Macaca fascicularis: one gene and its partners. The protein of the gene in region 3 interacts with the protein of the main gene of each other region in a pairwise test. Links are inferred from orthologs where the notes say so. Each region holds a gene or a part of one and is shown on either strand. Other genes may lie near its edges.

Region 1 (4,245 bases), on a different chromosome or scaffold from region 3:
TAACAAAAATACTTTTAGAATGAAGCTAGATTCCACAGCATCAATCAGGAATTTCCAGTGTAGGAAATGATGAACTACCATGTTCAAACATACAGGCTTTACAGGTGCATCAGAATCACAAGCACGTGGCAGAGTTCATGTGTCCAATTAAGTGAACATTCTTGCTACATGTTCAGCAGCTTATAAACAGATGGTGACCCACACCAGACTGCCTTGATGACTCTGCTTGGAAAAAAGGCATTACGTCACTGACTGGAGAATCTCAAAGCATATGTCCGGGCAGGTGACACACACATAGCTCAGGCTGTGATTGCTAAACCACTTCCACAGCCAAACGAGGAAAACCATCTCATGACCAGCTCTCAGGGGAATTCTCCGAATCTGACAGTCACCTCTAACTCCTCTGCCAGCTAAGATTAAGGGGTCTGTGATCAGTGATGTTACACTCCTCAAATGTGCATTTTTTTTTTTTTTTTGAGGCAGAGTCTTGCTCTGTTGCCCAGGCTGGAGTGCAGTGGTGTGATCTTGGCTCACTGCAACCTCCACCTCTGTGGTTCAAATGATTCTCCTGCCTCAGCCTCCCGAGGAGCTGGGACTACAGGCGCCCGCCACCATGCCTGGCTAATTTTTGGGGTTTCACTACGTTGGCCAGGTTGGTCTCCAATTCCTGACCTCAGGTGATCCACCCGCGTCGGCCTCCCAAAGTGTTGGGATTACAGGCGTGAGCTACCGCGCCCCGCCTCAAATGTGCATTTGTGATACCTTTTCGTAAATGTTTATTCAAATATTTATTCACGAATAAAGCAAGAAAATGGGATTTGTTTAAATTCAATTTCTAGGTCCAAGGCAACCTATTACAGCTGTCCCTAATACTGTACCTCCGGGTTGTCCTCAGTGCCACCTCCTACAGTGTCCTCAAACACCACCCCTACCATACTGAGCCCCCAATCTGTCACCCCTCCGAGCAATACTCCCCAACTTTCAACGCCCTAAACAGCTCCTTTGTTATCGCCAAGCACTAGAAACCCCTCATGTCATTCTTACCCCTAAAGACCGTTCTTGTCACCAATTCCCCATTCAGACTTTCCCTATGAACCGCTCTAAGCGCTCTCAACTATCAGCCACACCCCCAAACAGCCCTCAGTAAGAGCCCTACACTATCAGCCAGACGTTTCCCGCCACCAACGCTCCCGAGACCCCACTCCTGTCACCAGTTCCCCGAACATTCCTTCCTGGGGTCGCAGATACTGCTCACAGACGTCCCCGTAACCAACTTCATCACCTCCGTAGCCCAGGATCCTCCGAGGGGGCCATCCGCTGCCCCGCCCCTTTACTTGCGGCCCGGCCCCTTGGCGCGGCGTCCTGGCAAATAGCGCCGGAAGCCCCGCCCCCGACCGGTTGCTAGGCTCCGACAGCCGGAAGTCCCGCCTGCCGTGTAGTCGCCGCCGTCGCTACCGCTGCTGCCGTCGTTGTTGTTGTGGTCGGTGCGCTGAGCTCCGCGGCTCCGAGAGCCGGTTCCGTCCCTTTCCCGCCGCCGCCATGAAGTGGATGTTCAAGGAGGACCACTCGCTGGGTAAGCACTTGGCCGTCGGCCGGGCTGCTGGTGGCCGGGGCGGCGGGTGGGCCCCCTCCCCCACTGTGGCGGCCCTGGTTCGGGTGGAGTGGGGCGGATGCCCTGCTCCGGTCTCGAGTCGCCCAGGCCCTGGTGCCTGGGGCAGCCGCCTCCTGACCCCGTGTCACCCTCCGCGGGCCCTGCTGGGAGCAGTAGGGGACAGGACCGCGGCCGCAGGGACGCCGGAACCAGGGCCTGGGCTGTGCGCAGGGCGCAGGAGGAGGAGGGCCGGGGGCCGGAAACCGACCGGGGGGCAGGCGCAGCCGTCAGCCCTGTTTGTTTCTCCCACAGAACACAGATGCGTGGAGTCCGCGAAGATTCGAGCGAAATATCCCGACAGGGTTCCGGTGAGTGTTTGGACTCTCCGCCCCCTCACCTCGCTGTCACCTCTGTCGTCTGGGACCCGTAATAGGCCCCAGGCCATTCAACAGTTGACAAGTTGAGATTCCAGTCCCAGTTAATAGTAACTGACAGGCCAGACCGGGATGAGGCGTTCCAGGGCCGGGGCGTGAGGGGCTCGGGCTGGTGCTGTTCAGGGTGCCTCAGTGCTGAATCTCCCGATCTAGGCCAGCGAGCCGTCTGCAGCCTCGGGGCTCCCTGGCCAATTATGTAAGGAACGATGTTCTAGGACAGGGCAACAGGTCACTGCCACTTTTGGGAATGGTGGTGGAGCGAGACTGTCACTTTGGTCTTGGAAGTGGTACTTGAGTCTCAGGACGTTCATCTTTTACTTTGAGCCTCCATCTTTACCTAACTTCTAGCTCCGTTACCTCACCTTGACCCTGTCATCCTTGCCTGACCAAAATAATGTGAAAAGCGCTGAAAACCCTTCTGCCATGTTTTCTTCTTAGTCAATAATAAATATGATGTTATATTTCTTTCATGGTTGGGGAGACAGTTTTGTAATCCTTATTAATTTTTAATGGACATTAAGGCCTGTTATTGTAGCTCTTTGCTTGTGAATAATTCGTCTCAGGAAAGGAGTAGGAGGGACGGATTTGAAACTTGTTCAGAGAGGAGCAACAGGCCAAATGAAGAGCTTGGTTCTTGACTGGCTGAAATTCCAGGCATTCCCATTAGTCCATCCGTTCTTGTCTCCTGTGTTCCTTGGGAACACAGTAGTGTTTCTTGTAGTGTGAAGGTGGATCCATTCTGGGGTCCTAGAGTAACGGACCATGGATGAAATCCTCCCCAGATACTCTTAGGTCTGCCCAGATAAAATGTGGAAAAGCTTAGTAGTAAGGGCTGCATTTCTCTTACATAATTGACCACAGAAAAGCACTTACCGTTTCCCTATAACACATTTATATCAATTCTTAACCTCCAGAGCATGTGGTTTATTAAGCCAAAGACATATTTTCTCCTGCTATGCAGTTTCCCACCCACCTCCTTGCCCACACTCTGTTCGTCAGCTCCTCAGCCATGTGAGGCCAGAGCCTCCCTTTAGGAAACGCAGTCCTGACCTCTCTTTACTTTCCCAGGTGATTGTGGAAAAGGTCTCAGGCTCTCAGATTGTTGACATTGACAAACGGAAGTACTTGGTTCCATCTGATATCACTGTGGCTCAGTTCATGTGGATCATCAGGAAAAGGATCCAGCTTCCTTCTGAAAAGGCGATCTTCCTGTTTGTGGATAAGACAGTCCCACAGTCCAGGTGAGAGGTGTTTACTAGATGGGCCCTCTGGTATTAGACATCTGGTTGGCTGCTTACGAAACTCCAAACCTTTGGAAGTCTGAAAACTCTTAGGGGTCCTGACTAGAAATCTGTATTTTGTGCTCCCTGACATCAGGGGCTCCAGGAAAATAATGGCTGCAATACATAAGAGTGCATTTTGGATTCAGAAAATAGAACAAGGCCTGGACTTTAAAAAAAATGATGAAACTCAGCCTAACATCTCCAAGAATCTTTTAAAACAGTTGAGAACTTATTTAGGCTTAAGCTATAGGTAGAACTGAGGCCTGAAATGAGGTTTTCTTTCCCGAAGGCAGTCCTGGCACGCTCCTCCACTGGGAGCCTGTGGGCCCTGCTGAGGCTCACTCAGTTAATCATCCAGTTTGCTTGCTTCCAAACTTGGTCAACTCTTTGACATTGTAAGTGTCTATAGCTGCCTGATCCTCAAGTCTGACAAAATGACTGCTGCACAGTAAAGGGCTCTGAAGTCTTTTTATAGACTCATACCTCCCTTGGTAGCACCTGCTTTGACTGTCAGACTATTGTGCTGCCTGGAAGCAGTCTTTGGGACTGTAACTTGTGGCCTGAATGTAGGCAGAGGCATTAGAATTCCCCTTTTCTGTGTATTTGATAGCCCAGCTTTAGTCCCCTGTGGAAAGAGGAAAATGGAGGGGCTCCGTCTGACATCCTAGTCAGTCCTTTCCCATTACTGAGTGGGTAGTTTTAGGCCCTGATCCAGATTCTGGCCCCCACCTCTCCCCTGAGTGTGAGTTCCTGGCCACATCTTATCTTAGTGACCCAATGTAGGTTTCATATACCACCCCCAGAAGTAATACTTCTAAAAGTGAAGGCTTTCAGAAGCCCTGGAAACTAGCCCAATGTTGCCCACATAGGTTCCTGTTGAAAATCCTTGAAGTCTCCAGAAGAGGCCTCTGCCAAATTCCAGTTACTTACTTCTGTT
Region 2 (4,231 bases), on a different chromosome or scaffold from region 3:
ACAGGCTTGAGCCACCGTGCCTGGCCTTTTTTTTTTTTTTTTGAGATGGAGTCTCACTCTGTCACCCAGGCTGAAGTGCAGTGGTCGGATCTCAGCTCACTGCAAGCTCCACCTCCCAGGTTTACGCCATTCTCCTGCCTCAGCCTCCCGAGTAGCTGGGACTACAGGCGCCTGCCACCTCGCCTGGCTAGTTTTTTGTATTTTTTTAGTAGAGACGGGGGTTTCACCGTGTTAGCCAGGATGGTCTCGATCTCCTGACCTCGTGATCGGCCCGTCTCGGCCTCCCAAAGTGCTGGGATTACAGGCTTGAGCCTGTAGTAGTAGAGATGGGGTTTCTCCATGTTGGCCAGGCTGCTCTCGAACTCCTGACCTCAGGTGATCCAGCTGCCTCAGCCTCCCAAAGCACTAGGATTACCAGCATGAGCCACTGTGCCTGGCCATGCCTGGCTAATTTATATATATATATATATATTTTTTAAAAAATATATATATATATATATTTTTAAATATATATATATATATATATATATCGGGTCTTGCCATGTTGCCCAGGCTGGGTGAACATTTTTGACTATGTGGCCAGGGAAGGTCTCATTGAGTAAAGTCTGGAAGGAATTCTGGGGAGTGTGCCAGGTGACTGGGTGAAAAAACATCCCAATCAGGGGGAATTTAACTTACAAAGGTCCATGGCTTCTCGGCAACCTATGCGCACACTCAGAGGTTCTCAGGATAGGTGCAAATCTAACCCCTATTTTTTGCTTTAGAATGCAGCACTGGCGGGGCCAGGCGCAGTGGCTCACTCTTGTAATCCTAGCACTTTGGGAGGTAGAGGCGGGTGGATCATCCGAGGTCAAGAGTTTGAGACCAGCCTGGCCAACACAGTGAAACCCCGTCTCTACTAAAAATACAAAAATTAGCCAGGCATGGTGGTAGTCCCAGCTACTCAGGAGGCTGAGGCGAGAGAATCGCTTGAACCCGGGAGGTGGATCCTGCAGTAAGCCGAGATCACACCACTGTACTCCAACCTGGGCGACCAAGCAAGACTCCATCTCGGGGGGGAAAAAAAATGTAACCCAGGGTTAAGATTTTTAGAAGGTCACATTTTGTAGCAATGTCAGCAAACAGCAATGTTGCCTTTGCAGGTCCTTGTATTTCAGAGCCCATATATTTGGTCATCATGATGATCGAATTTAGATCTCAGACATTTTGGTAGTTTCCTGATAATCTCACAGGCCTCAGGGCCAGTGTGTCTCAGGTGTCTGTCTGGTGGGGGAGATTTCTCTGAATGGTCCAGAAGGAGATAATCTGCTTCTTACTCTCCTGCAAGCTCTCCCCGCAGCCCTGCAAAGTCTTCTGGGTCTGGTAGGGTCTGCAGAGAAATTTCTGTCTCCTGAGTCAGCAGGAAGTTCCCAGACTAGCCCGAGGTGGCTTTAGGGGAGGAGCTCTGGGCAGGGAGCCAGCTGCCCGTGCCGCATACCTGAAGCCAGGTGTGTCTTTGGAATGCCTTTGCACTTCCTGTTTGTCACCTGGACCAGGGCTAGCCTCGGTCTCAGAGTCTCCCAACCCCAAGTTCCTGCCTTGTGTCTCCCTTAGTGAGAGTGAAGTTGAGTCAATGGCAAGGTTCTGGTTAGTTTGGGGACACAGGGTGGCCATAGGTCAGCCAAAGGCCAACTAAGTCATTCTCCTGCCTCTGAGTCCTTTGGGATCATTTATTCGGGCACAGAAGAGAAGGGGGCAGAGTCAGGCATCAGACCAAGCATGGGGAGAGGAGAGGGAATTATTCATGTTCCAGTTGGATCATAAACATGTGTCCACGTGTGGGGAGGGATGTGGAGGGTGGGAACCACCAGCACAGGCGATACAAACACAGATGTATGCAGGACTCGCTTTTGACATTGGACGAACATTGCTGGAGCACTTGCTGTGCACCAGGCTCTGTTCTAGAACCTAGAGATACAGTGACTAAGGAGATTAAAGCCTGGCACCGCCCTACCCTCCAGAGCTTGCAGTCAGCTGGGCAAGAGAGACCACAAACAAGCGCGAGATGAATGGAGAAGACAGACCATTTCTAAGAGTTATCAATGAAAGTGATAAGCCAGGGAGATGTGATAAAGGAGGCTGGACAGGACAACCTCTCCTATAAAGTGACATTGGAACTGAGACCTCAGTACAGAAGGAGGCAGTTAGGCAAAGATTTCGAGGAGTCGTCTGGGTGAGGGGTACAGTAAGGGCAAAGGCCTGGAGGTGAGGTGGACTTGCTTTTTATATTTTACATCATCAAGGCGCATGGTGTAGCCGGAATACCATGAGCAAGGAGCAGATAGGAGGGCAGCGATGTTAGAGAGATCAGGAGGAGAGCCCGGGCAGAAACTGGTAGACTTTGAATTTTAATCTCTACTGCCCAAGGGTTTTAAGTAAAGGAGGAGCCCGATCTGATTCGCCGTTTAAAAGGATCACTCAGGCAAAAATGGAAACAATGGCTTTCTGTGCTGCACAGGAAATACACTTAGGGGATCACGCCCAGGTGAGCCCGGGCACACCGACACGCGTAATGCACAGCGACCCACTCATTCGCGAGGCGACCTCTTCTACCCCAGATCCTCCCTGCGAGCCGATGGCCCCACCTGGAAAGAGAGGACGCCCCATCCCAATAATCTTGGTTCTGGATCTGCCCTGGGGCTCCACTCACCTAGGCAGGACCCGCGGGGCTCCCACGAGGCTGGGACCAGGCGGAAGCTGAGGCTCTGCGGGCTCGGGGCTGCTGTCACCCCCGCCCTCCACGTTGCCACCGCCCCAGCCTTCCGAGACCACACCTAGTGGGAACCCAGCCCAGTTACCTGACCACGGCTCCTGCAGGCCCCGCCCCCTGCAGGCCCCGCCTCAAACTAACTTCCCAGGCTCTTGCTCCGCCCCCTTGAAACAATTTTTTTTGCTTCTAGCCACGCCCCCTGTGCGTGGCACTGCTTTCTCCATAGAACCGGCCCACTAGGGGAGCACTGCGCATCTTTTCCTGTCAATGGCCCCGCCCCTTGTACATAGCCACGCCCACCCGAGTGACTACGCCCACTCGCAACCACCTCCTTCTTAGCCCCGCCCCTTAAGGAAATAGAACAAATTTCATCCCAACGTTCCCGCCCCTTAGAACCCGGCCTCTCCCTTCCACCCAGGCGGCCCCAAGCACCCATGGTCCTTTGGTACCAGGGTGGGGTGGGGTGGGGTATCTCTCTCCCTTCCCCGCCAAGGCTCTGGGTCAGGGCAGGGCAACTCCCTCGGGCTCTTACGCCAGGCTGGGGTAGCTGCGGCGGCTGTGACGTAAGGAGGGGTGCGCTTCCTCCAGACCGCCCTCCTGGATTTTCCGGAAAGAAGCCCCATTTGGGTGGCGGGTTTTGTGGAGAGATATCCGGGAAAACGCGACAGCTTCCTTCAGTGACAGCACGCTGGAGGGGGGCGGGACTTTGGGGGAGGTGGAAGGCAAATCATTCAGGTGGTTTCCTAGGTGGGAGGAAGGGTAGGGGGGACTTCCATCATGATGCCTGGAGATGAACAAGAGAAAAGGTGACAGGGACCTAGTGCAAGAGAGAGGACGCTTTGGCCACGTTTATTGATAAGTTCCTCATATTAACATCAGTCTTGTCTTGTAGAGACGGTGTCTTGCTATATTGCCCAGACTAGAGCGCAGTGGCCTGATCATAGCTCACCGTAGCCTCAACTTCCTGGGCTGAAGCGATTCTCCTGCTTTAGCCTTCCAAGCAACTGAGGCTAAAGGTGCACACCACCACGCTCAGCTAATTTTATTTTATTTTTTTGTAGAGATGGGGTCTTAGTATGCTGCCCAGGCTCTGGAACTCCTGGGCTCATGCGATCTTCCTGCCTTGGCCTCCCAGAGCGCTGGGATTACAGACATGAGCCACTGTGCTTGAGCCAGTAACCACAGTCTGAAAAGCAGTAGCAGCAGCTAACATTTATTGAGCACTTACTGTATACCAGGGCTGTTCTGTCAACTCGCTTTTTTTTTTTTCTTTTTGAGATGGAGTTTCACCCTCGTTGCCCAGACTGGAGTGCAGTGGTAGCAATCTCAGCTCACTGCAACCTCCACCTCCCAGGTTCAAGCGATTCTCCTGCTGCAGCCTCCCGAGTAGCTGGGATTACAGGCTAATTTTTGTATTTTTGGTAGAGACGGGGTTTCACCATGTTGGCCAGAGTGGTCTCAAACTCTTGACCTCATGTGATT
Region 3 (3,560 bases):
TAGAATTTATTAAACTATTGAACGGAATTCCTTTTCTATTTGCAACCTTTCATTCTTTGTCCTTAAAGTAAATAAAGCCAAAGGAGGATGGAGCCTTTCCATCAGCACTCGAGAGGAGGACCTGGACTGTCTGTGTGAGGCCCGAGCACCTGGCGCCACCGTCGTCACCTTCCTTTCATGCTCTCTTCCCCAGGTAATTATGTGGTGACAGATCACGGCTCGTGCGTCCGAGCCTGCGGGGCCGACAGCTATGAGATGGAGGAAGACGGCGTCCGCAAGTGTAAGAAGTGCGAAGGGCCTTGCCGCAAAGGTAGGAAGCCCGCTGGTGTGCGGATGAGGCTTGTTCTCAGCTGCTGAGGCTGGGCTTTCATGCCACCTCCAAATGAACACTACTTCTTCTTCTCATTAAAAAACAACTATAAATATCATTTCTTTAAAATAGAAGATAAAGCTGCAAAGCCAGGTTAGGCAATGGGAAGGCACTGAAGGTTGTGATAGGGTGGGGGGCTCCGACGAGAACAGTGCACAGAGCCAGCCCCTCAGCAGCTGCCAGATGCCCAGCCCTGGGGAGAATCCAGGGAAGGCAGAGCTGGAAGCAGTCCAGCTCCATGCGGCCCAGGGGAAATAATGAGGAGAATGCAAGGTCGGTGTGCAGTGACAGGGATGGCATCTCCTATACCGCCGTAGCCCCAAAGTGTGCTATAGGTCCTCGTGTCCCCCTGCCCCCCGCACCCTCCCCAGCCCCGTCAGTGTTTGTTGAGTGAATGAAGGCTGATATGGCAGTGGCAGTTCCCGCGACTGGAATTCCTTCCTGCTTCCCTCTGCCTGTGGATCCCTAGCTATTCTTAATCCACCAATGTGAACGGAATACACGTCTCTCTTATCTCTGCAGTGTGTAATGGAATAGGTATTGGTGAATTTAAAGACACACTCTCCATAAATGCTACAAATATTAAACACTTCAAAAACTGCACCTCCATCAGTGGCGATCTCCACATCCTGCCGGTGGCATTTAGGGGGTGAGTCACAGGTTCAGTTACTTGTATAGAGAAAAACAAAGTCTGCCTTTTTAACTGGTAGAGACAGGAGATCAATAATCACCTGTTGTTTGTTTCAGTGACTCCTTCACACACACTCCGCCTCTGGATCCACAGGAACTGGATATTCTGAAAACCGTAAAGGAAATCACAGGTTTGAGCTGAATGATCGCATGAATATAAATGGGAAATCAGTGTTTTAGAGCGAGAACTTTTCGACATATTTCCTTCTCCCTTGGAATAAAAACATTTCTTCTGAAATTTTACCATTAATGGCTGATGTTTTGATACTTTTCAAAAGTACAGTTTCCCTGCAGGCAAAAGGGGACACGTTAAGCCCAGGCTTAGGTCATTCACTGCGCATGTGAACACGCTTTCTCCCTCCTACCCGGCCCCAGCCAGCTGCCTTGGTGGCCCATAACCCCTGCGGGTAGAGGGAGAGGACAGGGGTAGGCGAGGGGCAGCCTGGGCCTCAGGCTTTTGAAACTGGATGCCAGAGCCCTGTGGGGCCACGGGCAAGCCTCGGGTCCATGACTGCCACCTGAGCTCCGCTTCCTTCCTCTCTAAAATGGGAAAATTAGACTTATATAACACAACTGTTTTAGGGTTGGAATCAAATAAGGAAAATCTGTAAAGCTCCTTGTATGTGATACCAGATCCATAATTGGCAGATAATCGCAGCAGGAGCCTCTTGGGGGTAATCAGATACCCTGCGCAGCAGGGGTCCCAGGGCCACAGCCAGAGGGGCGGCGGGAGACATGGGGAATCGCTGGGGGAGGCGGGAGGCAGCCGTGAACTCTGGCTGGCCTGCATCCGCCCATTCGCATGTACACTCAGAGAAGATGATAACGAAAAAGAAAGCAAATCCAATTTTCCCACTCACTGTTCCTATAATACAAAGTCCCTGAGAGTCTAGAGTAATGTCTCATACAAAAAAGAAACTCCTGTGTGGTGTGTGTCTGAGTCTCCTCTGCCTTACAGGGTTTTTGCTGATTCAGGCTTGGCCTGAAAACAGGACGGACCTCCATGCTTTTGAGAACCTAGAAATCATACGTGGCAGGACCAAGCAACAGTAAGTTGACCACAGCCAAAGAGCCTGGTAGATTACATTTTGCCTTTTTAGTTGGAAATTAGGCTTAACAGGAGAGTTGCTAAGATAGGGCACAGAGCTCCTGTATCTCTCGCCGGCATTCCCGAATGCTATCTCACATGAGCAGGCACAAGGATCAAGACTGAACGACCACTGGCACAGGCTGTCTGCTAAACCACAGACTTCTCAGCATTCGCCAGTGCTTATGCTTCTGTGTCCACTCCAGATCCCACATTGCACTTAGTTGTCAGATCTTTTCAGTCCATTCTAACCTGTAATAGCTCCTATGTCTTTCCTTGTCTTTCATGGCCTTGACTCTTATAAAACGTGTTGTTCAGGTACTTTGCAGACTGTCTAACCATTTCAGTTCGGCTGGTGTTTTCTCAGGATGCAGTTGAGGTTATGCACATCTTATCACGGGGACCAGATAGACTTTTTAGCACCACTCTTTAAGAATTTCCACATTTTCAGCTTTGACAGTGGAATAGACTTGCAGGTGCTCACACACAAGCATCTTTAATATGGTAATGGTAATCATCAGTTTAGTGGTATGGAGGAGGAGATGGGAATCTCTTAGTAAAACCAGCCTTGGAAGCAGCCCCCTTATGAGAACTGCTGCCCCTACTTGACTCCTAAAGCACTAGATAATACTGTGCAACATTAAAGAGAGTAAGAGTGCATGAAATATGCATTGCCTCCCATAAACTCCCTTGGCTCTGAATCTCTGATACTAAATATGTGGCTACCATTGCTTCCCAGAAAAGCCTTTTTGCTCTGAATTCTCTGGAATACCTTCTTTGCCTGAGATTCTTATAAAAACAAGAGATTTAGAGCAAGTTTCTTGGATGGCTGGTATGAGCCAGTTGGCTTAGTTGTAGGGATTTAAACAAGATAAGGGTTACTTACTTTTCACATTTAATGAGAAGTCTGGTGATTCCAGCTCCTACTGAGGCAGGGTGGCCACAGGTTCCAGGTCATGACTCACTGAAGCTCCAGGCCTGCCCTGCAAGGACCATCTGGCTCTTCCCTGGTGTCTGGCCTCCCTGGGCATATGTGGGGGAGAATTCCTAATGGTATTGGTTACAGGCTCCTATGCAAGACCACTCATCAGTGTAGGAGAAAGGAAAAAGATGGGGGAAAGAAGAGCAGCAGGGAGAGGAGAAGCCTCTGGATGATACTCTAACCCCCTGCCATCCAACATCTGAACATCAGTCTTTTCATCCAGTGCTCTCAGCTGGCCCAGTCCCCAGCCTGGGGTCAGATGAGAGCTTCCTGCAAATGCAGATCTCTTTCCTGTGGCTCCTTCTCAATTACAGACAGCTCCTCCACAGGGTGCACTCTGGCCTTTTACTCCCTCCCCAAACCAGCCCAGCCCTCCCAGCCTGCATCATCGTGGTCCTGCAGGGGCTGGAGGTTCTCACACCCATCATGGT

What was found.
Region 1: the proteins of EGFR (region 3) and GABARAPL2 interact in binary tests that used the Homo sapiens proteins (3 or more experiments, as listed by UniProt). The link is inferred for Macaca fascicularis from reciprocal best matches to the Homo sapiens genes EGFR and GABARAPL2.
Region 2: the proteins of EGFR (region 3) and SH2D3A interact in binary tests that used the Homo sapiens proteins (3 or more experiments, as listed by UniProt). The link is inferred for Macaca fascicularis from reciprocal best matches to the Homo sapiens genes EGFR and SH2D3A.

What each region holds. Positions count from the first base shown.
Region 1 is NC_088394.1:71,416,051-71,420,295, forward strand, and holds the start of GABARAPL2 (gamma-aminobutyric acid receptor-associated protein-like 2), read left to right. Parts: upstream 1-1,430; 5' UTR 1,431-1,539; coding exon 1,540-1,573; intron 1,574-1,903; coding exon 1,904-1,959; intron 1,960-3,093; coding exon 3,094-3,266; intron 3,267-4,245. UniProt on the Homo sapiens protein: Ubiquitin-like modifier involved in intra-Golgi traffic. Modulates intra-Golgi transport through coupling between NSF activity and SNAREs activation. It first stimulates the ATPase activity of NSF which in turn stimulates the association with GOSR1.
Region 2 is NC_088393.1:7,530,468-7,534,698, forward strand, and holds the start of SH2D3A (SH2 domain-containing protein 3A), read right to left. Parts: upstream 2,816-4,231; 5' UTR 2,690-2,815; intron 1-2,689.
Region 3 is NC_088377.1:75,245,952-75,249,511, reverse strand, and holds part of EGFR (epidermal growth factor receptor), read left to right. Parts: intron 1-193; coding exon 194-310; intron 311-892; coding exon 893-1,019; intron 1,020-1,117; coding exon 1,118-1,191; intron 1,192-2,018; coding exon 2,019-2,109; intron 2,110-3,560. UniProt on the Homo sapiens protein: Receptor tyrosine kinase binding ligands of the EGF family and activating several signaling cascades to convert extracellular cues into appropriate cellular responses.